Arabidopsis thaliana: one gene and its partners. The protein of the gene in region 4 interacts with the protein of the main gene of each other region in a biochemical or structural test. Each region holds a gene or a part of one and is shown on either strand. Other genes may lie near its edges. The genes, in order: WNK4, SLY1, MSRB3 and PEN3.

Region 1 (7,639 bases), on a different chromosome or scaffold from region 4:
ATGATAGTAGAAAGCGAGAACTCATCTTCCATAATCACACACAATTTTATAAGAAAATTTCAGATTTTTTTTTGATTTTATTGAGATTTTATACTCTATTTGATATTTAAAGTTGACAAAATCTGAAATTTTCCCGAACAAAATGACCAACATTTCCCGCCCAATAAATTTTCCTGCCAAAATTTTTCTCCGTACCAACTTTTTTTCCCGCCCAAAAATGCATTTAAAAATCTTTGTAAATTTTAAAGAACTCTTGAAAAACCCTTGAAAAACTCTTAAAAGAAATTTGTAAAAATTTGTAAAGTTGTCAAAAGCCCTTGTAAATCATTTTAAAAACTCTTAAAATCCTTATAAATTCTTTAAATACATATGTAAATACTTTAAAAACCTTTGTAAATATTTTAAAATCCTTGTAAAACCTTTTACAATGGTTTTAAAAGATTTACAAGAGTTTTTAAAAGAATTTACAAGGTTTTTAAAAACCTTTGTAAATCGTTTTAAAAGTCTTATAAAATCTTTTAAAACATTATTTACAAATATTTTACAAGTGTATTTAAAGACTTTAGAGTTTTTTTTCCAAAGATTTACAAAGGTATTTACATGTGTATTTAAAGACTTTATAAAGATTTTAAGCGGATTTAAAATGATTTACAAATATTTTTAAGAACTTTACAAAGCTTTAAAAGACTTTAAAAAAAATTACAAGGATTTTTTAAGAGTTTTGAAAGAGTTATAAAAACATTTTTAAGGATTTTCAAATTACACGTTCATTATAAAAAATAGACAATAGAAGAAGATATTCCCTGAAAAAGAAAAATGGTTCCATGTTAATAAAAGGGTACCCTTAATAAACCGATGAAAATAGAAAGCGACGCAATATTTTTTTATTGAAACGCCAAAATGCTAGATCGTTCTGGTTTAAAATGAGCTTTTGTGGATAAAGCCAAACCCAACTAATAAATACTCTACTATGGAGCTGGACATGTCGACCCAATAGCAGCTTTACTTGACTTTGAATTAGGCAAATCAGACTACATGGCGTTTCTCCGTGGCTTGGATTACAATGCATCTACTTGAAGCTCATCTATCACTTGCATTGACAAGACCGTACCTAGAAACTTTAAACTATCCTTCTATGTCAGCTAAATTGTCATTAAAACATAACACATATGTTTTTGTAAGATATCTAATAATAAGACAACAAATATGGCATCAACCATTTCATATATATATGTGCATGAGAGCTCTCATCATCTTACTTAGCTTTGTATCTAAGGAGGATCCGAGTTTTAACAGGCTATATCATGCATAGATAAAATGGTTATATTTGACTACTGTTTGTTCTGGTATAGATGGTTACATTTGAGTCATTTCACCATGAGGACTCTTTCTCTGTAACACAAACACACCCTTTGAACAACTTTATTAAACACATGTACTTTTTACATTTTTGAACCAGCAAACTTGTTTTTTACAGTATACTTATATATTACAGTAATTAAAATACTGGAGAAGCTAGCGCCTTGAGCTTGGTGGCTTCCGTGAAACCGCATAAGGTGACTGAAACCCAACTGTTTCTACGTCTCCAACAGTTTTGAACAATCTTCTTTTTCTAGCCTCTTCCCCTGGCGACCGGTGCAGTAACTGTCTCTGCACGTCTACAAGTGATCGGTTCCTTGTAAGTGTGCGGTTGTCTGAAGCCAAGCTTCTGTTAGTTGAACTGGAAGCTGCATACGCGTTGGCTTGTCCTGACTGTAGATGAGAGCTTTCTTCGGGGCAAAACCTCGTCATGTTGTGAGTTCTGCTCATAACAGGAGATTGGGAGCTGTACTCATCAACAGCTATGTAGTTGAGGTTGGAGTAAGACCCTGAATGGGAAGAACTCTGAGAATACGTCTCATCGTGTAAATCATCTGCAATTTTAATTTCTATCTCAAAAACTTTTATAAAAACAATTGTCACACTATGCACGTTGAGACTGGTGTTACTTTCCATACCTTGTACCCAATCTTGAAGGCCTCGAGCCATATAGTTCGAGAGTGAAGCTTGGGAAGATGACGCGTGCGAGGAAGAAGAGTGAAAAGAATCGGTACGATGACGATGATGATCATGAGGGGTTTCATCATCTTCCTCATACTTCCAATCAGACACCAAAGAAGAAATCGCTCCATCAATCATTTTAGCAATCTCGACTGGCTCCCAATCTATAATTTCGAGTTCTTTTACCATCTCCTTTGCAACATCAATGGAAGTATCATTCATGATGTCAAAGGGAAAGAATACATTATTGGCCAGACCTGGAAAGAAAAAAACAATTATGCGACCGAATAACAAAGTGACCAGCTTAATCAATTTAGTCCCATTTACCATTATCATATGCGATTTGTACTTCCAGATCGATTTTGTTATCTTCAGCGCCCAGCTTCCCAGCGATGGACATCTCGGTCCTTAACTCATCATCTTCCAACTTCAGTGTGTCCATTTCATTCTCGTTCAAGAAGGGCTTTGGATTCCCAGCACCGCTCGTGTATACCATCCAGGACTCATCGGAGGCAAGAAATGGATCTTGCAATAGTTCTTTTGCTGATACTCTCTTTGAGGCAGACACGAGGCATTTCCCGATGAACCTCTGTGCCTCGATGTCTCCAACTCTGTAAAATGCTCCTGGTAGCTTTCCCTGAAAAGAGAACATTAGAAGACTCATGCCTGGTTCATCTGACAGCTTCATTTATATGCTCACAGATTGTAAGACATACCCCAACAACTTTCTTGTAAATCTGTGCCGGATGGTTGCACTCACTATACGGGAACTCAGAGGTGATCATCTCCAAAAAGCACATACCAAAGGAATATACGTCAATGAGTTCATTATAGTTCTCCTCATATAATTCTGGTGCCATGAACTCAGGAGTGCCTATGCAAAAGAAACACAAAGAGGTCTAAGCATATGATTTGGACAAGAAGTGAAAACAAACGATTTTTGAGACATACCAATGATGCTATGGGCCGAGTGGCAGTCCCGCAGCATTCTTGCAAGACCAAGATCACCAATTTTGACTTGTCCAAGATGCCCATTCACAAAGATATTATCACACTTAAGGTCTCTATGGATAACAGGAGGGTCGTGCTCGTGGAGATAAACTAGCCCTTCCAAGATTTGCCGAGCCCAGGACTTGATTGCTCGGATATCTATCCGCAAGTACTTATTTTTGTATCTGCATATGAACGGGACAGGGTCATAAAAGACAAAAGCTGAATAATCTTGTCAGAAGAAGAGGTTTAAGCGAATTACTGTCGGAGGGTCCCTGAAGTGAACAACTCGGTGATGAAGTTGAGAGTGTGGTTATGAACATCGATCCAGGAAGTGTAGAAACGAATGATGGATTTGTGGTTGAGAGTGCTGAGGAGATGAACCTCGGAGTAAAGCCTCTGTAGATCAACAGAGGAACGCAGAACCTCCTTAAGCTTCACCTGGCTCCATGCTACTTCTATTCCCAGCTTCTCGTCGATTGCTTTGTACACTGTCTTCATCGCTCCCCTTCCAAGAATTTCTGCAAACTGTTCCAACATAAAAAACCAAGTGTTACAACAAGGTTTTGATCCATGAACATAGAATCTGTCTCCTTACTTACACGTCCATAGCGACCAGTTGGATCAGTTTCCACATACTCTGCAACTTGATTCATATTCATGGTTGACCAAAAACCGATTGATGATCCCAAAAATGTTTAAGAGGACACAGACTTTCGTTTTTATAACAGAGAAATTTTCCGGTGGCCAAAAGTCGTCCTGTTTACTTCTTCGTGCTACTTCATTAAAGAAGCGTCAGCAGAAAATATGTTGAACAGTCGTTGGCGTCAATCACCCATTTGGGATAAAAAGAATAAAGACAATTTGCCTTAACCTTGCTTGCATCACATATATTATAGAAAATCATATATTTATTTTTATTGACCCAATTGTAAATCTAAAAATCGAAAGTTTGACAAATCTTACTTGCCAATACAAGATACTCAAACCACAAAAATGAAAAAAAAATCATCAAACGTGTACCACATTGAAAACACATGGCTAAATATGCTCAAAAGATGCCCTTGTTTATTTTGTGAACCACAAACACAATTGCAAAGAGGATAAGAGTTAAGAAAGTGTGGATACTGGGAAATGCGATATTCAGGAAAGAGTTTTGTTTCTTGAGGAAACTGCACAATTTTCAATTGAACCAATTATTAGTTTGGTGAACACAAGCAATCCAAAATAAATAGATTGAGGTTAACAAAAATAAAACGACAAAGAAAAGGGGAAAAGTCAGAACAGAAGTGGGGAACATGACAAGAAGTTGTAGAGAATAGAGTGATAGTGACATCACCGTTGAAAATTGTTTTGTTTTTGTTGGCGGCCAGTTCCTGCAGCCCTCAAGGAGTTCACGGTTCTGTAATAAACTAATAACACGTAACAAATATGCATTCACCAATAAAGTATGTGCATGAGAGCTCCCATCATATTACTTCGCTTTTTATCTAAGGAGGGTCTGAATGTTAACAGGCAATATCTAAGGAGGGTCCGAATGTTTGACAGGCAATATCATAGATCAAAATGGTTATGCATTTTTTGACTACTGTTTTGTTCTGGTTTAGATGTTAGTTGACACGTGGAAAAGGAGAGAGGGAAGCATGGTAGGAATTAGGAAATGAAGATAAGGATGGAATATATCTAAAACAAGAAAAGCCGTATAAGTTTGACACTGACTGACTACAGAGGTTGCAGCCAGAATTTTTCCCACAAGCATATAATTATATTCTGCTCATTCATCATTATCATTCACCACACAACATGGGAATGGCCCTTTCTCCACCATGTTCTCCACAGTTGATATATCACAATACACAAAGGTAAATAACTCTACAGCATTTTAAAACATATAGCACAAGATTCACAAAAGATGTTACCTCTACCCACCGACTAAGTTCCTCCATTTATCTTTCAAATCCACCTACCAAGTTACAACATTTACATCACTCACACTTGGCATATATCTTGTTCAAGTAAATGGTGAGTATGAATGTTAATAAGGAAATGTTCACCTCTGTCCTCTCCGCAAATACTGTAGGGTTTCCATTCTTTATATCTTTCCATGATTTACCATACCTGCACAACAACAACAACAAAATGAGCCAGTGGTATAATCTTAATGAGGTCCAAGATGTATCACTATTGAATATTGATAATAGAGTACGGGACTAGGCAAAGAGTGTTTGCATACTCTTTTACTCCTTCCCTCAGAGCTTCCACTTCTTCTGGCTTCCAGAATTTCTTTGGTCTCCTGACATGTGGTTTCGCCAATCCGCCTTTCTTTAATGGAGATACACTCAGAGTTACAGGGGTTGGTCGACGAGGCCGAACTCTGCTAGACCATGTTTCCTGACTATCCGAACCTTTCTCATTTACATTATCCTGTTTTCACAATTAAACCACAAATTCATGAACCAAAGAACAAGATTTTTAGAAAGCATCTTGAGGGAAAATTGACTAACACTCACCGATGCTTCGTTATGGTCTTGACAGCCTGTTCCAGTCCTATTCACCCGAGTAGGCGGAGGAGTGACATCTACTGAGTGATCAATTGCACTGTTAGGTTCTTCCCCTTGCCTAGTGGAAGGGTCGATGTGTCCTTGAATCTCTACTAAATATTCCTTCAGCTCTCGAGCAGCCATTTCGTCTCCCTTATCAAGACTTGGCTCATGTTCCTGATCTTGTGCACTCACTGTGTGCTCCTCGTCTGCTGCATTCACATTATCAATCCCATCATTCTCCAGACATTCCATTCCTTCACCATCATTAGCGTTGTCTCTACCAATCCCATTCCCGTCCTCCCTTTCACCACGCGCCTCGTTGGCGATATCAATAGTATCACTCCCAAAACGTCTCGTGCTTTCATCAACATCACTTTGATCCCCTCTGTTGTCAACAACATCACCCTCTACGTTCACAGCCTTGCGCTTAAGAAACCTTCTTTGAGCTACTGATTCAAGAGAGGAACTCCCAAGTAATGCCCACTGTTCTTTGAGAAGCTGAGTGAGAAAGGAAATGGCAGTGTACCTGATGTTAGTCTCACGAATTCGCTGATAGAGCTCAGGATCTCCAAGGGCCTTCTTCAAATCACTCTCCCATTTCAACAAGTCACAAGTCACCAAATCGCTACCACTCTCCTTCAAAATCCCAATCCTCTTCGTCCATATCCTCTCAAGCGCATCGGTGAACAAACCATCCGAAGCAAACATTGGCCACATAAATCTAAGCGTACACTCAGTAGCCGTCCAGCAATAAGCAGACTTGTGAGAATCCATGAGTAGCGAATGTTGCTGCAAGAGAAGCTTCTCAAGAATCTCGAGAAGATCGAGCATTCCCTCATCAATCGTACCTCGGATCAATGAATTGGAGATGTCACGCAAGACGGAAGATATCTTGAGCTTTATGCAGTCGGAGGAATCTCCTAATTTTAGCGCCGAAATCAGATTAATAGGGGAAGCCCTAGGATTGTGTTGTCGAAGGAGGAAAAATTCAGCAACCCATTGATCAATGACCTCCATTATTGAAACTTTCGCGATCAAAGTCGCAACTTTTTTAATTCTCTGGTCAGCGGATGCAATGTCGCCGGCGAAGACGAAAATCTCCGATCAGTGATCAAATTCGAACGGTTTCAGGTATATTCTGTTATTGGGCCTTAACTGGGCCTAAAAGTCAAAAGAAGATAAACGGTGAGGATGCTAAAAGAGTGACAAGTGTCAAGAGCTGAGCCTTATCCATAGATTCCCCAATCCTCTTTCTTACTACTCTGTCGCTTGGCGCGCTCTCTCTCCATAGTTCCAGTTCTGAAATCTCACTTTCACAGTTTGTGTCTGTGCGATAATGGCCATGGCAGAGCTCTCAACCCCCAAAACGACGTCGCCTTTTCTCAACTCTTCGTCTCGGCTTCGTCTCTCTTCAAAATTGCACCTTTCAAACCACTTTCGCCATCTTCTTCTTCCACCTCTCCACACAACAACTCCCAACTCCAAAATCTCTTGCTCCGTTTCTCAAAAGTAAGTCTCTTTAAGCTCCTAATCGTTTCTTCTCTCTTAAATAAATCAACTTTATCTGATCTTAGATGCTTTTGTGAATTGATGATAAAAGTAGCCAAGCTCCTGTTGCTGTGCAAGAAAATGGATTGGTGAAGACGAAGAAAGAGTGTTATGGAGTGTTCTGCCTCACCTATGATCTTAAAGCTGTATCTTACTATTCCCTCTTACTATTTTTCTATAAAAGAATCTTATCTTTGAGACTTGAGAATTGAGATAATCCTCTGCTTTACATGGATATAATAGTATTATGTGTGTGTTTGCCAGGAAGAAGAGACAAGATCATGGAAGAAGTTAATTAATATTGCAGTTTCAGGTGCTGCAGGAATGATTTCTAACCATCTTCTCTTCAAAGTAAGTTAATCCTTTAAGTTACTGTTTTATAGGATAAGGTTACCAATAATTGGTCTTATTTTATGTATCTTTGGTTTTCCGGGTGTGTAGCTTGCTTCAGGGGAAGTATTTGGTCCAGATCAACCCATTGCATTGAAACTGCTAGGATCAGAGAGATCAATTCAAGC
Region 2 (5,639 bases), on a different chromosome or scaffold from region 4:
CTTGAACGCCTTGTACTTGTCAATCCAAGAGATAAAAGAGTTGTTGGAGTTCCTGAAACCAAGGAAGCCATATTCCTTACTCTTGTTCATACTATCAATCATTCCTTCAACTCCAAGTATAACATCAGCAAACCACCACACACCAACTTCCTCAAGCTTCTTCTCTTGCAATTGATTCTCCTTAACCATCTCCTCCCACACTCTCTCTTTCCCTTTCATCATCTCCACCAACCCCAAATTCTTCCCTTCCTCAAATCCATACTCCTCAATCCCAAACTGCTCAGCTAGAATCTTCCACAGATGCTTCCACTTGAAGATATCAGCATTGTTGCAGTTAAACGCCTCGTTCTTCGCATACGGATCAACCGCCGCCCAAATCTGCTGCTCCGCAATCAAATCCGCGTCAGAAGCCGTCATGAACCCTTCCCAAGCTTTCTTGCTCCCAGGAAACAACAACGGAGACCCTTCATGCTTACATATCGCTGCATAGACACAGAGAGTCCCAACAATGTTCATCAAACTATAAGGAGAGAACCCAAAGATCATGTTTGGTCTGTGGATAGACCACGTCACGGTTTCTATCTTCTTGATCTCTTCAAACAGAATATCCTCTTGGGTATAATAGAAATTCTGGATCTGCAATCTCGGCATATCCTCAGTGAACGGTGGATCGTGACGAGGTCCGTCAACGTTGGTGAAAGGGCCAAGGTAGTGCTTTGTCCCTGTCTGGAGACAAACATGTCGGAGATTTGGCGCGTATGGGATAATCGCTTGGAGAACGTTACGGAGCATTGAGCCATTTGCTTCACAGTTTTCACTTTCCGATTCACGATTGGTCCAGGTGACGTAGAAGACATGTGTGACATCGGTTAAAGGGGAAAGCTTGGATCTTGTGTCTTCGGCGTCGGAGACATCGCACTGGATGTAATCGATCGGATGATCGGCGTTCCAGGTAGGACGAGGACGACGAGCGACGCCGTAGACTTTCCATGGACCACCGGGTGTGTCGGAAAGAGGGAGAATCTCCGCCAAGCTGTTTCCGACGATTCCAGTAACGCCGATGATGAGAGCGACGCTCTCGAAGCTTTGTGATGGTTCATCTTCGTCGAGTTTCTTCTGCGAGTACACAAATTAAAGAGATGATTTTCAATCAGTTGAAGATGAAGATCGGAGGATATGATTTGAAGGATTGAATTGAAATTTACCTTGGCAGCTCCGATGGCGCCAGCCCACCACCAACTCATTTTTTCTCGATGTTCAGATTTTAGAAGCTAAGCGGTGTTTTGTGTTTATGGTCGTGGCCAAGTAATTTGGCTAGAGAGAGCCGTGTGGGGTTTGTCTTTTGTAATGTGTTTATTGTCATTTTTATATATGAAAAATATCTTTAGCTAAACTGGCATCTTACCAAAAAAGATGAACAAAATCTTCTTATTTTTCGCAAAACATTTTTTTTTGTTAAATTTTAGTATGCCACATAAGTGGTTTATAAGTTCTTTGTAATCACTCGAGTTTGTTTATAAATTTCATATAAAACCAAGAACAGAAAAGGAGTGTTTTTATCAATTCACACAAGCTCTTAAATTATTTTGTTGACTCTTACTTACACCTCTTTATTTCATTATTCTTTCTTTACCGACATATAAAAAAAGAAAATGACAAAAGTGGTTACGGCGATAATGATTCTGATTTGAATAAGGAGATGGTGGTACATGGTAATGATGTGTAGGCTTGTAGCTATCACTCAAATACACATAAATCTAGCGAAATTAAGGCTAACCATCGCAAGAATAACCAAATCAAACAACATTTGAGATTTATCGTACCGCTGTAAAAACTAGACGGCAAAACTGGATCCGACAGAGTAGTAACCACCGGGAAATGTTACAAACGAAGGACATAAAGAAATAAGCAACATTACATAGCTTGACGTTGATTCCGGTTTGGACTTAAAGTGGTGAATGTTAGGTTTATTACCAAATTGGTGAACATTGTTTTTCATTGAATAATAAAACAGAATCGTCACTAACAGTTCTTAATCTTACCAAACTGGATCACGAATCGATTTTGTTACAATCATTGTCCAACTACGGACCAACTTAACTTCACGACAGAACCATTACAACAAAATCGAATCACATTTGATATTAAATCTACTTTTAATCAGCTCCGATTACAGTAATTAAAAATTCTCATCACCCTCTATTATTACAGAACACAACTGTTGCTAACAGTCTGGCTTATGGATACCAACAAATTTTATTGCCAGCATTGAACATCACATCTGACTTACCAATCAACAAACTCCAAATACACAAACTCCAAAACCAAACTCTAATAATTTGTAGTCAATTATTTGGATTCTGGAAGAGGTCTCTTAGTGAAACTCATCTTCTCGTAGTATCGAATTGAGAGAAGAGAAAGAGTGAGTTTAAGCTCGTCCTTACCGAACCTAGCACGCGGATTGGGTTTAGAGAGAGGCCAGAGGTAAAGAGAGTGGAGTCTTCGGAAGCCACCAAGCGCCAACACAACAGATCTGAGCTGGTTCTGCCCGCAGCCGATGTTAGTCCAGTGACGAGTACAGATCAGCTCCCAAAGCCGCTCGTCTTGTGCCGTTTTGTGCCAGATCTTGCTCACGCAAGATGACATAGCTAAGGTCTTTGCGTCGACGTGTTTCAACACCTCGTACACTAGATTCTCGTCTAAATTGGAGAATCCGATTTCTTCTTCCTCTGTACTCTTCATCTTCTTGTTTGTCTCGTTGTGAGCATCACCGGCCAAATCAGAGTCGGTAGTACTGCGCTTCATGTGGAATCGATTGCGAAGATCAATCAAAGTTGTTTGATTTGAGAGGAGAGATTGAGAAAAAAAAGTATTGAATTGAAAAGAAGATTAGAGATTGGGGTTTCTCAGATGCCTTCTCTTTGAGAACTTTCGAAGACGACAAAACGAAGATAAAAATGCTTTTTGTAAAATGACGACTTTACCCTCATATACTCCATAGCTGTTTTGGACTTTTGGAGTCCTTTTTTTTTTTTTTGTCATCTTGTTTGTTAAATAAAATTGTAAAACATAAAAAACAATACAACAAAAAGCCCAAGCCCATCTTATAATGTTGTTTCTTCTTAGTTCTTCCCAAATGTTTATTTTCAACTATTAAAAAGAGTGTTCATTGAATGTACCAGAGAGACCTCTAGGAATTTTTGTGAATTAACGGATAATCCATTTTTTAAATCTTATTTCAACTATTGACTAATTTAGCATCACGTATTTTCAGATAAAAGAATCAGTCGTTTAGGACTTAAACAGAGTGAATTATTTGGGTGCCTTTTCATTTTCTCACTTGAATTGTCCTTTTTAACAAATAGGTATTATTAAATCAGAGTTAGGAAATTGTACTGTACCTTTCTTTTTAAGTTTGTGTCAGCAACTTGTATTTTGCCTCTTTTTCTGATCAAATTAATAAATATGGATTGCACGACGAGTCTTTTGACACAATCTATATATACTGTCAGAGTGATGACAATTGCTTGGAATTAATCAGAAATTCATTTGTTTAATGCTCTCTAACAAACAATAAGAAATTCAATATAACTTCAGATGAGAACAAATCATTTCTATCTTCACTGGATCATTCTTTTCTCTCGAAAATGTTCGATGCCACGATCTCAAAATGTCTGCAGCTTCTATATATGTTCTTCCGTAAACTAAATTCCATCAAGTTACCATCGGATAACGCGAGTACCCCTCTAGCTCCTAGCTCTACTCAATTTTCTATATAAAAAAAAAAACTTGACGAAACCATGGATTAATATATATATGCGAGTAACTTGTATTTTGCAGGATGAGTTCGTTCGATGGTACTTGGGGCTATCCTTCTCAGCTAGAGTGGTGATTTATATTACAGTTTTGGGTACTATATTTCTCCCATATTTATATAATTAACATATGGAGTACTATTTATCTTCAATGTAGAGCTAATTTGTTTGTTTTTTTGTTTTTGTTATTGTTTCTCAGGAACAATAATGACGATTACTTATTTGGTATTGAAATTCCTGAGCGAATGTGACATGGAGGATGACACACAGAGGCTACCATTGGTGGCAGAAGAAGAAGTCACCACCGATTGGACGCCGCCGTTGATCAATGAGTCGTTGGAGGTAACGGGGAAGGGAGATGTAGAAACGGCGTCGTTTAGCTCGTCGGATGATGTGGACTACTCGACACTGTGTGTTATATGCTTCGAGGAACGTAGAAACTGTTTCTTTGTACCGTGTGGTCACTCTGCCACTTGTCGCGGCTGTGCTCAAAGGATCTTGTCGGAAGAAAGTAAGGTGTGTCCGATTTGCCGAAGGGTGATACGCAAATCAAAGAGATTAGTGTTGAAAAAGCTTTGAGCGCCGTTGCTTTGCCTAATCACCATTTTGCGAACTCATGCTTCCAAGAAACGCCCTTTGCTTTGCGTTTTATTATTATTTGTTCTTTTCAGTTTTCAGCGACACAAGTGAAAGAAAGATCCGAGTATCTTTGGTGTCACCACAAGACTATAATTCCATACAATCTGTAATTTAACAATGCAATTCTTTAACAACCAAAAACAAAGACAATTCCATGCCAATGTACACACTAGCATTTGGATTTGTTTCTTTTTCGGTAAACCGATTTGTATTTATCATGCCAACTGTTTGCGTTTTTGGGGGTGTATCATGAAATTAAAATCAATTCTGTAAAGTTTAGATTTGAAATTTGAAATTATTTTTAAAAATCTATTTTGAGCCATTTGAAATGAAATTTTTTCGGAGTTTCATAACATTGGATGTTAATGAAAGTATTTAAAATCTTAGTTGAATAACACCAAATTATAGATTCTAGTAAGCATGATTTACAAATGTAAAGATTTCATAACAACAGATTTTAAAGTATAGTTTAGAATCATTAATTGAATAACATTGGATTAGTGTTAAATTTCAGTTCTATTAAATCCATGATTGAATAACACCACCTTATAGTTTATGCCGGATTATAATTGGAAGAAAGAAAATATTGGGTTTTGAGCTATAGTGTATATGTTCTTATAAATTTAGTATTTGGTATTTTAGAATGTATCAACAATATTTACCATGCTAAAATCAAATAATAAATCATAAAAATAAAAAACTACTTTCATAAATTTAAAGGTCTACATAAGAAAACTCTACAAAGTAACATATTGCAAATATAACAAAAAATTCAAAACATATTTTAACCATATGAAAAATCTTAATTATTATATTATGGATTAGGATATTCACGGAATTTATCTGATTTTTGTTTGTTCCCCATAGAATTCCGCAAAAATGGGTTGTGGTGGAACCATATGGGTGGGTTCTTGTTGACTCACACAAGTTGGTACATAATGAGCCGGGCCGTGAGTCCCTACCGATTCACTCTTCACACGCTTAGCACGTGCAGTTTTCATCAAAAAACGCAAACGAAATTGAGCAAAAAAATAAATATTCACCAATCGCTTCATAAGATTTTTAGTTATTAAATATTTATTGCCAAAAAGAATAAACGAAGAAAAAGCCTTTTCTTCTCTCTCGTTTTCGCGACAACCTTTTCCTCGAAGAAGAAGAAGAACGAGGTTTTCTCTCAGAGCTGCC
Region 3 (6,203 bases), on a different chromosome or scaffold from region 4:
TAAGATATTACCTCCCTAAAATATCCAGCCAATATACAATTGAACATGCTAGAGTTTGGTTCCAAATTGAAGTTCTTTAAATTACCAAGCATATTATATGCACCTTCAAACTGCACATGAAACCAAAAGATATAGAGAAACATTTTGTGGTTAGAGAAACAAGCGAAGCAGCAACTGTAAGAAACAGCACAGACATGTCCTCATCTGTAACATAGGGTTTGAGGAAGTTACATCTTTGATTCTTGTGCACAAACGTATAATGCTCCGGAAGTTCTCAGTATTAGGTTTCACACTCTTTGTGCACATAATTGAATGGATTCTTCGCACCTTAAACAGCAAAAGTATGAGGAAATCCGTTTCATATATGAGCAGAGTTCAACTGTATATTGTCTGGATATAGATTCAAGCTAAATGAGGATGCACACCAAATCAAACTCAAGAACTTCATCAATGGCATGTAACAATGAATGTAGGATATCTGCGGATATCATCAAACCTGCTTCACCCATTTTTTCAACTACATCAAGAGCAGTGACTACCTACGGCACAGAGAGAATACTCATTATATATAGCACACGAAATACAGCCAAATTTATTATAAAACAAGCATAATAGGAATACCTCATTCGAGTCACAGCTATACTTAACAAGCTTTTCGTACGATGTAGATGAAGGCATAACATCAAGTTCTTCATGCATCTTGTTAAATTTTAAGATTGTATCCTCAACCTTTAATTGTAGAAAACCAGTAAAACATGGACAATTAGGAGGCATCGATTATCTAACCAAAGACTTTAACAACACTAATCTGCCACTAATATTCATGAGAAGTCCTTACCGTTGGATTTGGGGTGCAAGTAGAATAGATAGAGATGAGATCAGAAACGTTCTTCACTCCTTCATCTACGCATGTTAATGAGAAACATATAAAACATGCTATAAAAATGATGTTCTACAGGCATAAACATGTTATTGGACAATGCAGCCTTACCACTTTCTCTTAGCTCCCAAAGGAATCTACTCGCAACAGAATCCAATGAAAACCTCCCAAGATATTCAAATATGTTTGCCAATAGGTCCGACGAACGAACTTTTGTTATGTCTACAATCTCTAAGAGCCTCTCAAGATGGTACTTTTGGTCTTTTTTACATAGTGCAAGCAGATAATTTTCTGTTTTTTTAAGGATCAAAAAGGTTAAATCTTTCAGAGTAAGAGAGAGCCACAAAACAACAGAGTGCACAAAACTGAATATTGCTTACCTTGCAAGACTGATAAGCTTTCACCGTTATCACCATCAATTGTACTGCAAAGTTCCTCAATCTTCTCTCCATCACCAAGATGGATCCAAAGAAGCATTTCATAGTAACCAAGTCTCTCAACGGAACCGGGACTAGCCTCCCTAATCACATCCTTGAAACTATGAAACTCATCTACCATATCCATACCAATCAAATAACCAAGAAGAGGACCATAAACTCTTTCTTCAATCAAAAATCCACGATCTCTCATAGATTTCAAAAGCTCAAAAGCCTTCTCAATATGGCCAAGAGCATAATCTAGATCATTGCTTTTCTCAGCATGCTCTAAGTAAACACCAATCATTGCATTGTACTCTGTCACACTCATCTCTTTAGCTACTCTATCAAAAGCACCAAACATAGCCTCAGTGCCTAATTTCTGAGCAGAGTCTCTAAATATCTTAGCGAAACGCCGTGACAGACCGTTCTGCTTGTAAACACGTCTCTCTTTCCTTTCACGAGACAACTCTTTCGTTCTTAACGAAATATCATAAGGGATCTTAGTGGTGAAACTTGGTATCTTTAAAAATAAGTTCTTCTCCAAAGAGCTTTTATCTGATGTTGTTACTGAAATGTGATTCAAACTATGAATGAATGAGAGTTTGTTGAAGAAAATAGACAAAATTGGCAACACATACCATGTAACAATTTCGATACTCGATCTTGTAATGATGCTTCCTCAAGATCTACACACAATTTTGCATGAAATCAATCGAATTCTAAACATTACCCAGATACAGAAAAATATCAAATTTACAACGAATTCATTCTAAAGATCACATTTTTCTTATATTTGTTCATATCAGAAAATCCGAATTACCTGAGGAAGAGTTTTTGGAAGAGAGAAGATCTTTGACAGCTTGAGAAGTTCCGGCGATGTCTTTGTTGCCGGAAGCAATTGAAGATTCGCCGGTGGGTCTAATACGGGATTTGAAGACTGAACTTAATAAGCTTTTGTTAACCTTTGAGACAACCATGTTCGGATTTCAAGTGAGATTGAGAAGATGAAGAAGAGCAAGTTTATAAAACCCTGAACAAAAACCCCGACAGGGTTGTTCTATCCAATTTTAAACCTTAGGGGTGATAATTTAATCAATCATATAAATTAGGGGTAATCATGTAAATTAACAAGATTAGTTGAAGAAGAATCGTCAAATTTTGATTTTGTCTTGTGGATTCTTCAATTCAAAGATTATAAATTTATTGATGAACATCGTCAATTCAAAGATTCTCTTTTTATCATTCACGCTACTTCTTCTTCTTCAATCGTCAATCGTTGAATCCGATTCGATTTGCCTCTCTTCCGGCGTAGCTTCGACGGTGGCAATGGCGGCTCCGGGATCGGTTCAGAAAGGAGATGAAGAGTGGCGTGCGATTCTTTCACCTGAACAGTTTCGGATTCTTCGTCAAAAGGGCACTGAGTAAAGTTTTTAACCTTTCCTCAGCGATTTTCATGGTTCAATTTAGCTTTCAAAATTTGAGCAAATTTGGTAACTATCTTCCATTAGGAATCCTGGTTTTAGAAATCTAGGGTTTTTATTTCATAACTCGCTTAATTTGTGATTCTCAGAGTTAATAAAGGTTTGAACTTTTTTTTTTTTGCCAATTGTTGGAACATTTATTTTTCAGGGGTGTGTCTTGATGATGAGCACTATGTTGATGATTAGATCTTCTCTCTGTGTAGATTACATAGAAAGTTTCTGCTATAGATGTTGATCTGTTAGGATAAAGTCTATTCTTTTGAGTGATTGGAAACAATACAAATTTCCTGCTATTATAGATGTTGAGCTGTTAGGATAAGCTTACATGAAAGGTTATAGTTCTTCAAGGATACTATCTTTCATTACTCTTAAACTCCAGATGAGTTTGTTTTTTTTTCTTATTAAAGATAAGATCTGAGTATTGGTTTTACCAAGAATGTGCTACGACTTTAAGAGCTCGACTTTAGAACTTGGTTGCTCTGTCAGGTTTTGTCAGTTCCTATAGAGCCTTTACTATTATTAGCTTCTGTCTTAGAATGGATTGCTATGTAAATGACCATTAATATGTCTGAGTTCGTCGTTGGGGTTTTGGTCTTTCTAGTATTTGGATATCTTATTGAATAGGGAATGAATGTTTATATTGCGGGTTTGTGTTTTGTTGATTTCAGATATCCAGGAACAGGGGAATATGTCAACTTCGACAAGGAAGGAGTTTACGGTTGTGTAGGATGCAATGCTCCTCTTTATAAATCCACCACAAAGTTCAACGCTGGTTGTGGCTGGCCAGCTTTCTTTGAAGGAATCCCCGGTGCCATTACCCGAACGGTAAAGAAAATACTCTCAGAGCACAAACACTTTTTTCATCAAATTGGTAACAAAAATGAACTCTCTCTTCTTTGTGTATTTTGCTTACATTTGTTGGTTTATCAGACAGACCCAGATGGGAGAAGAATAGAGATCAACTGTGCAACATGTGGTGGACATCTTGGTCATGTTTTCAAAGGAGAAGGTTTCGCTACTCCAACCGATGAACGCCATTGCGTGAACAGCGTTTCGCTTAAGTTCACACCCGCAGCGTCTTCCTTGTAAATCTTGGCCGAACAAGATTATTTGTTCTTTCTCTGGATTTTTTCACTCAAGTGAGTGGGAGAAAAACAGAACAAGAATCTTGTATGAGTGTGTGTGTCTATACTGTGTACTGTATTTTTTCTTTCATGACTATTTAAATTCATCACCTCGAGCATTTTGACAACAACTGTAGTCTGTAGTATGTATGATTTGTAACTTGAATAAAACACACTCTTGTCTTGTAATACAAAATCTATACTATGTTACGCATCTGTGAGACTCTATTGACACGTGCATGATACACCAGTCTAAAGATTCACAACAGTTTCATATGAATCTAGACTCAAAACTAGGAACCATACATCACTGAAATTATGTACAAATAGATCACTGTAATGATTCAAGAACCTACCTGATCATTACGCTTGCTTGCCTCTGTTAATATTTCAGCTTCTGGTTACTCTCTGTTGTAGTAGCTTCTTCGTGGTGGTTGTCATGGCGGATCTTGTGACGGTGGTTAAAAAAACAGAGGAGGAGTGGCGTGCAGTTCTTTCTCCTGAACAGTTTCGGATTCTCCGTCAAAAGGGCACTGAGTAAGTCTTTGTTTTCTTTATAAATTTGGGTTTAGGGTTTCATAGTTTGTGATCTCAAGTTAGGCCTTGTTGTTTATGTACTCATATTTTGAAAGATTGGATTCAGAAGATTGTTGATTTTTGATAGGTTCACTATGTTGTTACCTTTTCAAGGATAAGCACTGTAATTAGGCTTCAAGTAATCATAGACTGAATCTTGAAAACAAAATTAGGGGAAAATTGGATCTAGATGCACATCAAACAAGTGTAGTGTTGCTTCTTGCTTTTGGTCTTTGTTTTGATTGTTTCAAACGCGGTTTCTGCAAACGGTTTGCGTTTTGCGTTTATGTTTTCAATTAACAAAGTCTTTTTAGCTTAGAATGCTTAAGATTGTTGATTTATTTTGAAAAGAAAAAACTACACTAAACGCAATCGCAAACAAACAGTAACGACCTTAAACCCTAAACCCTAAACCTAAGTGTTTTATTGGTTTTCTCAGTTACTATAGAACTTTGTTTTTAGATTTATCCAAGTATAGATTGCTCCTTCTTTTGTTACGATTTTTGGGGTGATTTATTTCAGTTCTTACTTTGAAACATAGTATACAAATGCATAATACAATTCAATCCAAGTGTTCTTATGGTTAAAAATATTTCAGAACGCCGGGAACAGAAGAATATGACAAGTTCTTTGAGGAAGGAATCTTCAGCTGCATCGGATGCAAAACTCCTCTTTATAAATCCACCACGAAGTTTGACGCCGGATGCGGCTGGCCAGCTTTCTTTGAAGGACTCCCCGGTGCCATTAACCGAGCCGTAAAGATTATCTTTTGTATGTTTAATTTAGTTTATTTTCATGACTACTGGTTAGTAAAACATTCTTCTTTTTGCTTGATTTGATTCTACATTTACCAGCCTGATCCAGATGGGAGAAGAACTGAGATCACTTGTGCCGTATGTGATGGACATTTAGGCCATGTTCATAAAGGTGAAGGTTATAGTACTCCAACCGATGAACGCCTTTGTGTTAACAGCGTTTCGATCAATTTTAACCCGGCCAAACCTTCCTCTATAACCTGAGGACTAGTTGATCGTACATTACTTTCAAATCAGATTGTGGTGTTCAATTGTAGAATCATCATCACGTTACAAGGATCAATGTAACAGATAATAAGAATCATTAGTGGTTCTTAAAATATGTCTGTTTAGAAAATATATATATATATATATGTATCCTGTTTATAACGACAATTCTCATTTTAATACATTTTAGTAAAAATGTTCAGCTTAATTTCCCCACTACAAAAGTTTCCACTAAAGAAAACAGATAATATCAAATTAATGGAATAAATAAGCCTAATTTTCTTTAAAAATTGTAATGTCATTTAATAATTATTGTGTAATACTAAGAAAAGATAGCCCAACAAAAAAATCAAAATATACTGAAGACGAATACGACGAAGGAAAATAACAGATTAATGAATCTGTTCGCGTGTAAAGCTTACCAACATTCGGAAGCAACATGTTTTTTTACACTTTTTCGTGCTACTTAAGTATTGGTTGTATGGTTTGCTGAGGTTTAATGTATATGTTCATTGATACATTTGTATTATTGATTTCAAATTAATAAAGAATGAAGATGTTAAATAAAAAAATATTGCGTAATACATTTGCATATATTTTTTTCTCGAAAAGTGGAAGCACGACTCTGTTGCGCAAGCCATACTCTTTTGGCATTCTCTTTTCTTAATGATAAGAAGATAAGAATTCGTGTCGTCTTTTCT
Region 4 (9,986 bases):
ACTAGACTCAAACTCAACTTCAATATCAAACAGTGCTTCTAAAGCCAACTCAACCCAATAACCATACTTCACGCTCTCTCTTCAGGTAAGGATGTGATGATTCTTTGAGACCAAATGGTCAATAAATATATCAAAGAAGTCTATTATTTCCCCTTCCTCGTTTGTTTTGAAACACATAACTGACTTTATTGGTGATAGTGGTAAGTAGAGCAAACGATTCGGCTTTGGTGGTGAGGAGAGCCAAGGAGAGGCTTTTGGTGGCGAGGAGAGCCGAGGAGAGGCTTTTGGTGGCAAGGAGAGGCAAGGAGAGGCTTTTGGTGGTGAAGAAGAAAAAGTCATTAGTAGTGAGGTGAAAGAAGGAGCCATTGATACCATTTGAATTTGATTTGATCTTGATGGTACCTTTGGTGGTGATGAAGGAGCCTTTGGTGGGGAAAAAGAAAACGCCTTTGATGATCTTGATAAACACAGCCATGAGAGTATATAAAAGATATTCAAAATTGGGAAATGTTTTCATGATAGAAAATAGAAATAACTTACTTCTAAATACTCTGAAACAAGTTCCTATTTTATCATAAAGCTACCCATACTCCATGACCTCATCAGAGACACAGAGAAGAGAAGATTTTATTTTACTCCATGACATGTACCATCAATCTCATGTGACGTCTAAGCAAGATATTAACGAGCTCCTAAATAGAGAGGTGTTCATCTCGTTTAAACTTTTTTTAAGTTTAGGGTTGGTTTCAAATTGGTGTATCAACGCCACCGCCAATATACGTCATATTCTTGACATGTGCAGAGAAGAAGGATGTGAGGAGCTTTAGTTCTCATTTATTTCGATTTTGTTAGTATTCTTATCTTTTTTTAGATTCATGTTCTATTTGATAAGTGTAATTTTGATGTTGGTTGATTTGTGATCACTATTGTTAGTGAACTCCTGCAAAAATAAGAAGACTGAATTAGAAAAAGCAAGAATACAATGACACTTTCTAATTACAGCATATATTCTAATGAAAATTTGGTTTTGTTTTGGAAAATAAAAACAATTTTTTCTAATATGAAGCTTTAGTTTATATTGACAATTCTTAAAAGTTGTACAAAATTGTTTCAACCTTTTCTACTACATAAATTTGTCTTATGTGGTTATTATTTTTACATGAATCTAAATATGTAGCTTCTTTTTTTACTATATTTTGCGTATAACAAATAAGATCCGTGCTAGTGGGATTTTTAACTACTAATAATAAGAATTCCAAGTGTATATTAAAATCCAATAATTAACATTATTCATATCAATGACGATTTAATATGTGGGTAAGCATTTCGACAAAATTATTATCATATACTTGTTATCCTATTGATGATGTACAAAGGGATTCAATTTATTTTTTGCAGTATATACAATCTCACGTCTTTCTCATATATGTATGTTAAATTAAAAATAAAATTTACTCGTATGTTTCTATATGAAGATTAAGTTATTTCGTTTACATAATGGATAATGAGTTGATCATCTATCTATATATTAAGATCATTTGATGATATTCTATAACAAAAATAAATACTAGTATTAATGAGATTTTAAAATAGTAAGACGTCAAAGTGAATGTTCAAGTCAAAATTTAATATTATTTTTAACGTATCAATGATGATTTAATATATTGGTAAATGTTCATACAATTTTTTTTATCATATAGATGTTATTCTATTGATGATGTATAAAGAGACTCAATTTATTTTTTGCATAATACTAAATCTCACATTGTTTTCTATATAGACCTAGTGTAAAAAGAACTTGGTCATGTATGATTTCATATAATAGTTAAGTTATTTGATCTACATAATGGATAATTAACGAGTTGAAGTGTTATCTAAATAAAGTTATTTTGATGATATAGAGTGAGAATTACAAACGTAGGTTCAAATCAGATGGTTAACATTGTTTTACATTTGATTCGATTTAATATTCTAATAAATATTTTTGATGATATTTTTATTATAAATTTGCATTAACTAGAATAATTTGGCCAAAATAAGAAATCATTGAAATTATATAATAATATATATATATTGTTATCCAACATATGTTCAACAACGGGCGTTTGGTCTAGTGGTATGATTCTCGCTTAGGGTGCGAGAGGTCCCGAGTTCAATTCTCGGAACGCCCCTAAAATATTTTTTTCTTCAAATTCCTAATGGGCCAGGTTTCATAAATAATTCATCGAGGCCCAGTAAGAAGAAAGGGTTATATCATATGCTATATAAGATGACAAGGGTCTAAATATTTTGAACGGATCAATTTAGGAATCCAAACCATATTATGCAATGATCAAGATATAGGGTGGTGTATTGGCCTAAACATTTGGGTATGATTAAATGGAAATTTGATTGGGAGGACTTTTGGTAGGATTTAAGGAAATTTTAGGTGATTTAATCCAAAATTCAAAATCGTTTTGTCGTTGTAAGATAGACTTTTCTATATTTAGAAAAACTGATTTATTGAGATTTCTCATTAAACTTTATGATATTGGTGTTGTGTTGTGATAATTTTTACAGAACCATGTTATACAATTATCAAGATTTAATCATGAAGAACATTAACTTATCCTCCATTGATTTTGTCTTCTTTGATAATGGATATGATCACACTTTTTTTCTGTCTTCTTCCTCTTATTGGAAGTATCGTAAAATAAAAAGTCTCAAGAAACAAACAAAAATGGACTTTGAGGGATTTGTGGATATAAACACAAAAAAAAGTGGAATTATATTACATGATTCCGATTCGTCATCATCTATAAGACAATAAATAAAAATATTCAAAAAAATTTCGTTATGACACTACAATACATATTTAGAACATACAAAGCTTATAGTGCATATAAACAACACAGAGGATACAAAAAAAGAAAGAGACTTTGTTGTTTGAGAGATGGTTTTATCTGGTCTGGAAGTTGAGAGTTCTGATGCAGAAGGCGAAGATGAAGGCGAAGAAGACGGTGAAAGCGATGAGTACAGCCGCCACTGGTCCCATAAAGTCAGATTGGAAACCATAATGGTCCTCAATGTATTGCTTGACGGTTAAGTCAGGAGCACCACCAAGGACTTGGATACGTGTCTCCACATCACCGTACTGCGACACTATCAATCCATACACGGTCCATGCAACAGGGCAGATCCAGTAGTACCAAATCCACCATTTTGGGATTTTGGGTCTTGGAATGAAGAAACCAGAGAAGAGGTTGAAAATACCGTAAAACGCTGAGGCGAAAATCGAAGCGACTTGTTGGTTTGGTGTGAGGGAAACAGTCATCATGCCGTAGTAAGTCCAGTAGAGGAATGAGAAGTAGCTAACGAAGACGAACCAGAAGAACTTTTCGGCTTTCCATTCGAAACCAACCATGGCGTAGACGATGAGTGAGTAGTAAACGGTTTGAATAAGGACATAGGGAAGCTCACAAGTGACTTGAGAGATGGCATATGGCATGGCTGAGTACATTCCTGCTGCTCTTTCTCTGTAGAACACTGTTCTTTCCACTGCAACCATCGGTTGTACTGTTGAACAGTTGTTGATTCCCACGAAGATAATCGCGGCATACAATGCTCCTATCACCATTGTTAGATCCCCTGCGTTCGACCTGTTACCTCCGATTTGCCAGAAGACTGTACCAATCAAGAGAGATGTTGCCAATGTGAAGATGAAACGGACAAGATTGTAGTCTGGAGATCTCCAATACGTCCACCATTGTTTCCATAAGCATGATTTGAACTGTCCCCATGTGTTTTGTGAGAATTGTGTAGCAAAGTAAAGATCTGATGCTCCTGCTGGTGGTACACTTAGTTCTTTTACCAACGCTTTGTTTCGCCTGCATTTTGTTATGTATTCATTAGTACTATTACTTAAACAATCAATCAGATGCAATGAGCCATGGAAAAGAAGGAACTTAAACTTACTGGTGCAATGCTGATTGATTGTATAACTCAGCAAAGTCAACACTAAGCTTTAGCTCAGCGGCGAGTGAGCTAGCTTCGAGCATCCAAGTGGCCGGGTTATACTTTTCTGGAATCTTGGACACTCCGGGGAAAGATTCAAAGTACTCAACCACCTTGTGAGAGTTTTGACCCAATGGACCCGCGTAAATCACTTGTCCTCCTCTCTTCATCAGCATCAATTCATCAAATGCTTCAAAGATATCAATGCTAGGCTGATGAATGGTGCAGACCACGGTTCTTCCAGTGTCCACTGTGTTCCTTACCGCCCTCATCACAATAGCCGCTGCTCTAGCGTCTAGCCCTGAAGTTGGCTCATCCATAAAGATGATGGAAGGGTTGGCTACAAGCTCCACCGCGATTGTCAGTCTCTTTCTCTGCTCCGTGGAAAGCCCCGTGACACCCGGTAAACCAACAATGGAGTCCCTAAGACTGTCCAGCTCTACCAATTCCATCACTTGATCCACAAACATCATTTTTTCATCTTTGCCGACTTCTTTAGGAAGACGAAGGAAAGCAGAGAAAATCAGAGATTCTCTGACTGTTACTTGCGGGGAGTGAATATCGGTCTGCTCACAATATCCTGAGATTCTAGCAAATGTTTCTTGAACCTTTGGGAATCCTGATATTCTCACATCTCCTTCAATGTATCCACCTGTTTTCCTTCCGGCCAAAACGTCCATAAGCGTAGTCTTACCGGCACCACTCACTCCCATAAGCGCAGTCAAAACTCCTGGCCTAAATGCACCAGTCACACCTTTAAGCAGTTGGAGTCTTGTTTCTGTAACTCCTTGGTCTCTCATTTCCTATACCATCAAAAGATATCTATTTAGTTTAAGTAATTCATATTTAATTTAGTGTAAAGATTTTAAGTGAAGATAGTTACTTACCCCAGGCATGTCAACAAAGTATTTGACGTCGTCAAAGGACATAGCTAAAGGAGTGAAAGGAAGAACCATTCCTTTCTTATTGCCTGCACCACCTGATGCTTCAGCCGCAGAGTCCCTACTCATTCTCCCCATTGCGACCTCTCCTCCTGATAGCAGGGAGCAGAATGAGACAAGAGTACAAGAAAAGCAAAACATCTAAGCAGATTAAGAAATGTGTTTACTTACTTCTGTTCCCATCTGCAGTAGACAAAGATCTACGCATTGGATCTTTCCCCTGATCAGCGTCTTCATTTTCTTCTTCTGGAAGTAAACCTGCCTTCTTCCCAAGAGCTGTAGTTTCAAAGGTACATTATTAGTAGTCTATTGTTTTTAGATTTGGTAAAACGGGTGATACAACACGAGAACTTACGGTTGAGATAGGTAAGTGCCAAGGTGAATAGAATGTTGAAGAGGGCTGTGAAACAAAGCAAGGCTCCAACTGAAATCCAGTACCAGTTCTTTTGATGGTAGACATCCCAAGTATTAAGCACCATAGTTCCAAGCTTTATTGTGCTGTTAGAAGAAGCCTGTAATTTGAAAAAAATATGACTCAGAGGCGGCTTTACTATGATATTTGTTTGTAAAATGCAGAATAAAGAAGTAAGCCACTTACCATTTTGTTCATCCATCTGGGAGCAAACATTTCATTGACTACTAGACCGTTGAAAGCATAGGTGAGAGGAGATACCCAGTAAGCCCAACCCCACCAGTCAGGAATCTTGCCTTTCGGAAGAAGGAAGCCTCCGAGCAAGAACACAAGAAGTAGAGTGAGAGCACCACCAGTATTAGCAATCATCATGGTTCTGCACACAGAAGCAATCAACCTAAAGAGGGATGCAGCCATTTGTTGAATCAGAAACACCAGAAGAAACTGCTTGAAGAAGCGGCTGGCGTCAGGTGCAAAACCAATGGAGTAATAAGTCACCACCATCCAAGCCGTCGATTCTAATATTGAGCTTGGAATCCCAAGCAAGAAAGTGGGAAGTGAGAAGGTCCAGGATGGATAAAACAAGAGATCCCTCTGTTTGTAGAACACAGGGAGTCTTGAAACCATCATAGCCATCTCCGCAAACCCATTAAACATGTTGATGATCATTCCAAATAGCAATGCTCCTATGTAGAGATTAGCATCACCCTCGTTTCTTGTGTTCATTTCGGTTCTCAGGAAGAGTGTAGACGTGATTGCAGCAATGATGACGATCTGGACAGTCTTGAAAACATAGAAGAACGCGTTTCGCTGCATAAGCAGCCACTCTTTGTCCCAACAGCTCTTGAGAAGCTCCCTCTTTGAGACAGAGTACTTATCGAACACAAGAGCTGCTTTGTGGCCGCGAGACTTATCGAACGGTACTGCAAGTTCGTTAGACATCTTCGTCCCAACATGGAAACTCTTGTATCTACTGGCAAACTCTGAAACCGGAATGTAGTGATAAGGTCTGTTCGGGTTCACCCAGTACTGTTCTTGATCTTTCTTGGAAGTAACCTCTTGCAGGAAATCAGCTGTTCCTTTTCTCTCAGGACACTTGAACCCAAAGCTCTCAAAGAACTCAAGAATGTTGTCTCTCGGTCCTTGGTACACGATCTGACCTTCCGACACCAAGATGATATCATCGAATAAATCAAAAGTCTCAGGAGCAGGCTGGAGGAGAGACATGAGCACCGTGGCTTCATTGAGGTGAACGATTTGTTGCAGACACTTGACGATTTGGAAAGTAGTGGAACTGTCAAGACCAGTGGATATTTCGTCCATGAAGAGTGTCTTAGTAGGTCCAACAATCATCTCACCAGTTGTGACACGTTTCTTCTGACCTCCAGATATACCTCTCATCATGTCATCTCCAACTATTGTGTCTTTGCAAATGTCAAGCCCCAAAATCTGTTACACGGCCAAAGTTAGTATTATACAAAAAAAGACTCAAAACTTTATGAACATGAGAAAAGATTGTCTAGAACATTTTTAGAATATGAAAACTTATATCAATATTCTAAAATAATGAAACCAAACGGTTAATGAATAAATTCCGGTTCAGTTTCGGTTTATAAAAAACGATTTAGTTCGATTCGATTTTATGAGTTGCTTGCCTAGTAACAAACACTCTTCTTGAAACAAAAAGAACAAGATGAGCTAAGTTAAGGCGAGAGTTGGACTCACTTTGAGAGTATAATCAGTGACGAGACTGTTCTTAACACCTTGAGCAGCAGAAGCTTTCATGAAGAGATCAACATCGGCTTCCGGGAATATACCAGCGTCCTTTTCTCTCCTCGCAAGCTCATTCAACAGATCTACAACAACAAGAATCAAAACCATTCAACAAAACTGAATCTTGAAAAAAAGATATGATTAAAGATTGAATCTTTTACTTACCATAACGAGTACCAACACCTTGACACCTAGCAGAGAAGTCAAGAGTCTCCTTAACAGTCATGATACCAACATGAAGATCGTTCTGACTAATGTAAGCAGAGGTCTTTCTCGGAACAAACTCATCGAGTTGGTAACCATTGTAAGTAATATCACCACTGACTTGTAGAGATTTATCAAGTTTCCCAGCTAAAGCCAACAAAAGAGTGGTCTTACCAGAAGAAGGAGGACCCAACAAAAGTGTCATCCTTCCAGGTTTAATAACCCCAGAGATATCTTTAAGAATCGTAAGCTGAGCTTTCTTAGCAAATTGAATACCAATCATACCTAAAGCAGACTCTCCCATGTTCCTCACAACATTCAAAAGTGTAGGAAGAGATCTATTACCAGTGTAACAATCAGCTTTAATCGTCAAATGCTCGTACCTGACTTCAACAGTTGGAAGTTTGATACCAACTCTATCGATCCTGTTTCTTAGCTTAGTCAAGATCCTTTCATTATCTTGCTCAGCTACTTTGAAAACCATGTCAATAAACTTCTGACGATCTTCACCATCAAGCTTGGTTACATCAACCTCCTTGCTCATGAGCTGGTTACCGTAAACATCGTCTTCGACTACAGCGTTCATGAGAGTGGTTCGGAGACGACTGTAAGTTGGTAGCTTCTCAATGGCAGCCCATTTAAGAGCTTCTTCATCGTCGTTGACTGATTGTGTTCTTCTTGAACCAGATGAGAAGATATCTTCAATGTTCCTACTTGCTCTGCTTACACTTCGACTTATGCTTCTTCTCATACTAACACCACCTCCTCCTAAAGGAGGAAGATTTGGATTGTAATCCATCGTTCACCAAGAAAGCTTGTGACTTTGGCTCAAAGTTTATGTCTTTTGAACAAAGTTTGTGTTTTTGGATCAAAGTTTGAGACTTTGGATCTAATCCCGTGAGGATTTAGTTGGGTGATACAGAGAAGAGAGAGAGGAGGAAGATGATGAATGAAGAGAAGAGGGTGGGATTAGAAAATGGATAAATAGGGAGTGAGGAAGGAACATCAAGGCGGACTTTTCTTTATGTTGACTATTCATACTTTGTTGAAATAATCAAAAATAATAAAAAGTCGTGTTTTTTATGTGCAAGATGGGTTTTATTATTCAAATGTGACGGCTCTTTTACGTTGTTTTTTTATTTACAAAAGATATTTTTTGTGCTAATAATGCGACGGCTCTTTAACGTTTGTTATTTTATTGCAAAGATATTATGTAATAATTGAAGTGTTTGAACATTTCTTATTCAAAGTCAATAACGATGACCCCATTTAGTTATAGCTACTACTAGTGGAGATATCGTTAAATGAAAAGTCTTTCTTGTGTACTTTGTTTCTTTTCTACATTTTATTGGTGAGAAAAGAAAGGAAGACCGTCGTTGGGTTTTGAAGTCATTGTGTTGATGAAGTCACATTCACATTTCAATTCAACACATACGTGAAGGATGGTTTGTTTATAAGTCTTTGTGTTCTGGAAAGTGAGAAGTTGCGGAGGAAGAAGCCATTTAAATACCCGGAATAAGAAGTTTTAGTGACAACTCCTCAATGTTGTTATGATAAGAAGACTCCATTGACTTCCTCTTAAACTCTGCGTTTGGCTATTTTCTCAACTAATCTTTGATTAGTGCTCTGCATTTTGTGTATTAACCAATGTCTAATTCATTCCTTCAGCCAGCAAATTTCATTTTCCTGAGCTCTTCTCAGCTTCTTTAGTAATGCTCTATAGGTTGGTTTCTTTGTCAATTAAGCTCTCGGTCTTCTTCAGTCTGCAGTTTATACTCCAAGTTTTCATTTACCTTTGAGGACGACTCATCGATTTTTTCAAGAGAACAAACCTACATTGCTCTGAGTTTTCTAAAGCAATGTTCTTTGGCTTGACTTCGTTGACCAACAAGCTTCCTTTAAATTTCATGCTTCCAGTTTCTGCTTCTCTAACTCTTTCCTACAGATCCTCATTCTTCTCCTCAAGTTCCTTCAGTTTATTCTCATTTACCTTGCCAAGTTCCCGACTTTTCCGCGCAAATGAAGTTCTCGCTGTCTCTACACAGTCTTAGAATGGACAAACTCATTTTGGGTGTTTACTTATCTCAGTCTTCAAGAATTTTTCCTTACTTTTCACTTGTATATTTTGCAGCCAACTTATAACTTTTAATTTGGGCTCCACAATGTTCAAGCTATGGTTGACATATCAACAAGACCTTCTCCAATCCTTGCCTTGCTTTAAAAACGCTTCACTTGTATCCACCAAGCTTTCATATACCTTTGACAAGTTATCGAGTTTTTCAAGAGAAAAAACCTTCATTGCTCTGAGCTTTCTGTTTTCTAAAGCAACCTTCTTTGCCTCGACTTTCATGCTTCCAGTCTCCGCTTCTCCAACTCTTTCCTACAAATCCTCACTCTTCTCCTCAAGTTCCTTAAGTGTATTTTTCATACATGCTTCTTCTTCTTCTCATTTTCCTGAAGGTCAGACAAATTCACTTTGCCAAGTTCCCAATTTTCCACACAACTGAAGTTCTCGCTGTTCCCACATAGTCTTAGAATTGAAAAACTCATTTTGAGTGTGTACTTATCTCAGTCTTCAAGAATTTTTCCACAGTTTTCATTTGTATCTTTTGCAGCCAACTTATACCTTTTCATTTGGGCTCCACAATGTTCAAGCTATGGTT

The links.
Region 1: the proteins of PEN3 (region 4) and WNK4 form a complex in vitro, tested with the Arabidopsis thaliana proteins (one study listed by BioGRID).
Region 2: the proteins of PEN3 (region 4) and SLY1 form a complex in vitro, tested with the Arabidopsis thaliana proteins (one study listed by BioGRID).
Region 3: the proteins of PEN3 (region 4) and MSRB3 form a complex in vitro, tested with the Arabidopsis thaliana proteins (one study listed by BioGRID).

Annotation. Positions count from the first base shown.
Region 1 is NC_003076.8:23,581,558-23,589,196, reverse strand, and holds WNK4 (with no lysine (K) kinase 4), read right to left. Parts: upstream 4,409-7,639; 5' UTR 3,693-4,408; coding exon 3,633-3,692; intron 3,559-3,632; coding exon 3,293-3,558; intron 3,216-3,292; coding exon 2,992-3,215; intron 2,915-2,991; coding exon 2,757-2,914; intron 2,678-2,756; coding exon 2,368-2,677; intron 2,298-2,367; coding exon 1,998-2,297; intron 1,914-1,997; coding exon 1,516-1,913; 3' UTR 1,396-1,515; downstream 1-1,395. Other genes in the region: AT5G58340 (myb-like HTH transcriptional regulator family protein), read right to left, coding at 4,952-4,993, 5,085-5,148, 5,264-5,454, 5,541-6,590; AT5G58330 (lactate/malate dehydrogenase family protein), read left to right, coding at 6,910-7,082, 7,174-7,267, 7,386-7,472, 7,563-7,639. UniProt on the Arabidopsis thaliana protein: May regulate flowering time by modulating the photoperiod pathway.
Region 2 is NC_003075.7:12,560,824-12,566,462, reverse strand, and holds SLY1 (F-box family protein), read right to left. Parts: upstream 3,185-5,639; 5' UTR 2,806-3,184; coding exon 2,350-2,805; 3' UTR 1,981-2,349; downstream 1-1,980. Other genes in the region: VEP1 (NAD(P)-binding Rossmann-fold superfamily protein), read right to left, coding at 1-1,116, 1,206-1,244; AT4G24204 (RING/U-box superfamily protein), read left to right, coding at 3,648-3,734, 3,841-3,910, 4,015-4,394. UniProt on the Arabidopsis thaliana protein: Essential component of the SCF-type E3 ligase complex, SCF(GID2), a complex that positively regulates the gibberellin signaling pathway.
Region 3 is NC_003075.7:2,437,069-2,443,271, forward strand, and holds MSRB3 (methionine sulfoxide reductase B3), read left to right. Parts: upstream 1-2,451; 5' UTR 2,452-2,505; coding exon 2,506-2,720; intron 2,721-3,448; coding exon 3,449-3,605; intron 3,606-3,710; coding exon 3,711-3,869; 3' UTR 3,870-4,137; downstream 4,138-6,203. Other genes in the region: AT4G04790 (Tetratricopeptide repeat (TPR)-like superfamily protein), read right to left, coding at 12-110, 232-327, 426-539, 622-729, 839-903, 992-1,171, 1,261-1,866, 1,938-1,985 and 1 more; MSRB4 (methionine sulfoxide reductase B4), read left to right, coding at 4,344-4,441, 5,079-5,235, 5,335-5,499. UniProt on the Arabidopsis thaliana protein: Catalyzes the reduction of methionine sulfoxide (MetSO) to methionine in proteins. Plays a protective role against oxidative stress by restoring activity to proteins that have been inactivated by methionine oxidation. Involved in cold tolerance.
Region 4 is NC_003070.9:22,032,797-22,042,782, reverse strand, and holds PEN3 (ABC-2 and Plant PDR ABC-type transporter family protein), read right to left. Parts: upstream 8,361-9,986; 5' UTR 8,123-8,360; coding exon 7,285-8,122; intron 7,203-7,284; coding exon 7,072-7,202; intron 6,796-7,071; coding exon 5,533-6,795; intron 5,447-5,532; coding exon 5,290-5,446; intron 5,211-5,289; coding exon 5,106-5,210; intron 5,027-5,105; coding exon 4,881-5,026; intron 4,797-4,880; coding exon 3,955-4,796; intron 3,867-3,954; coding exon 2,939-3,866; 3' UTR 2,657-2,938; downstream 1-2,656. Other genes in the region: AT1G59885 (uncharacterized protein), read right to left, coding at 1-66, 185-475; AT1G59865 (uncharacterized protein), read left to right, coding at 9,486-9,783. UniProt on the Arabidopsis thaliana protein: Together with ABCG37, regulates auxin homeostasis and responses by playing a dual role in coumarin (e.g. esculin) and in the auxin precursor indole 3-butyric acid (IBA) efflux transport, thus influencing cotyledons, roots and root hairs development.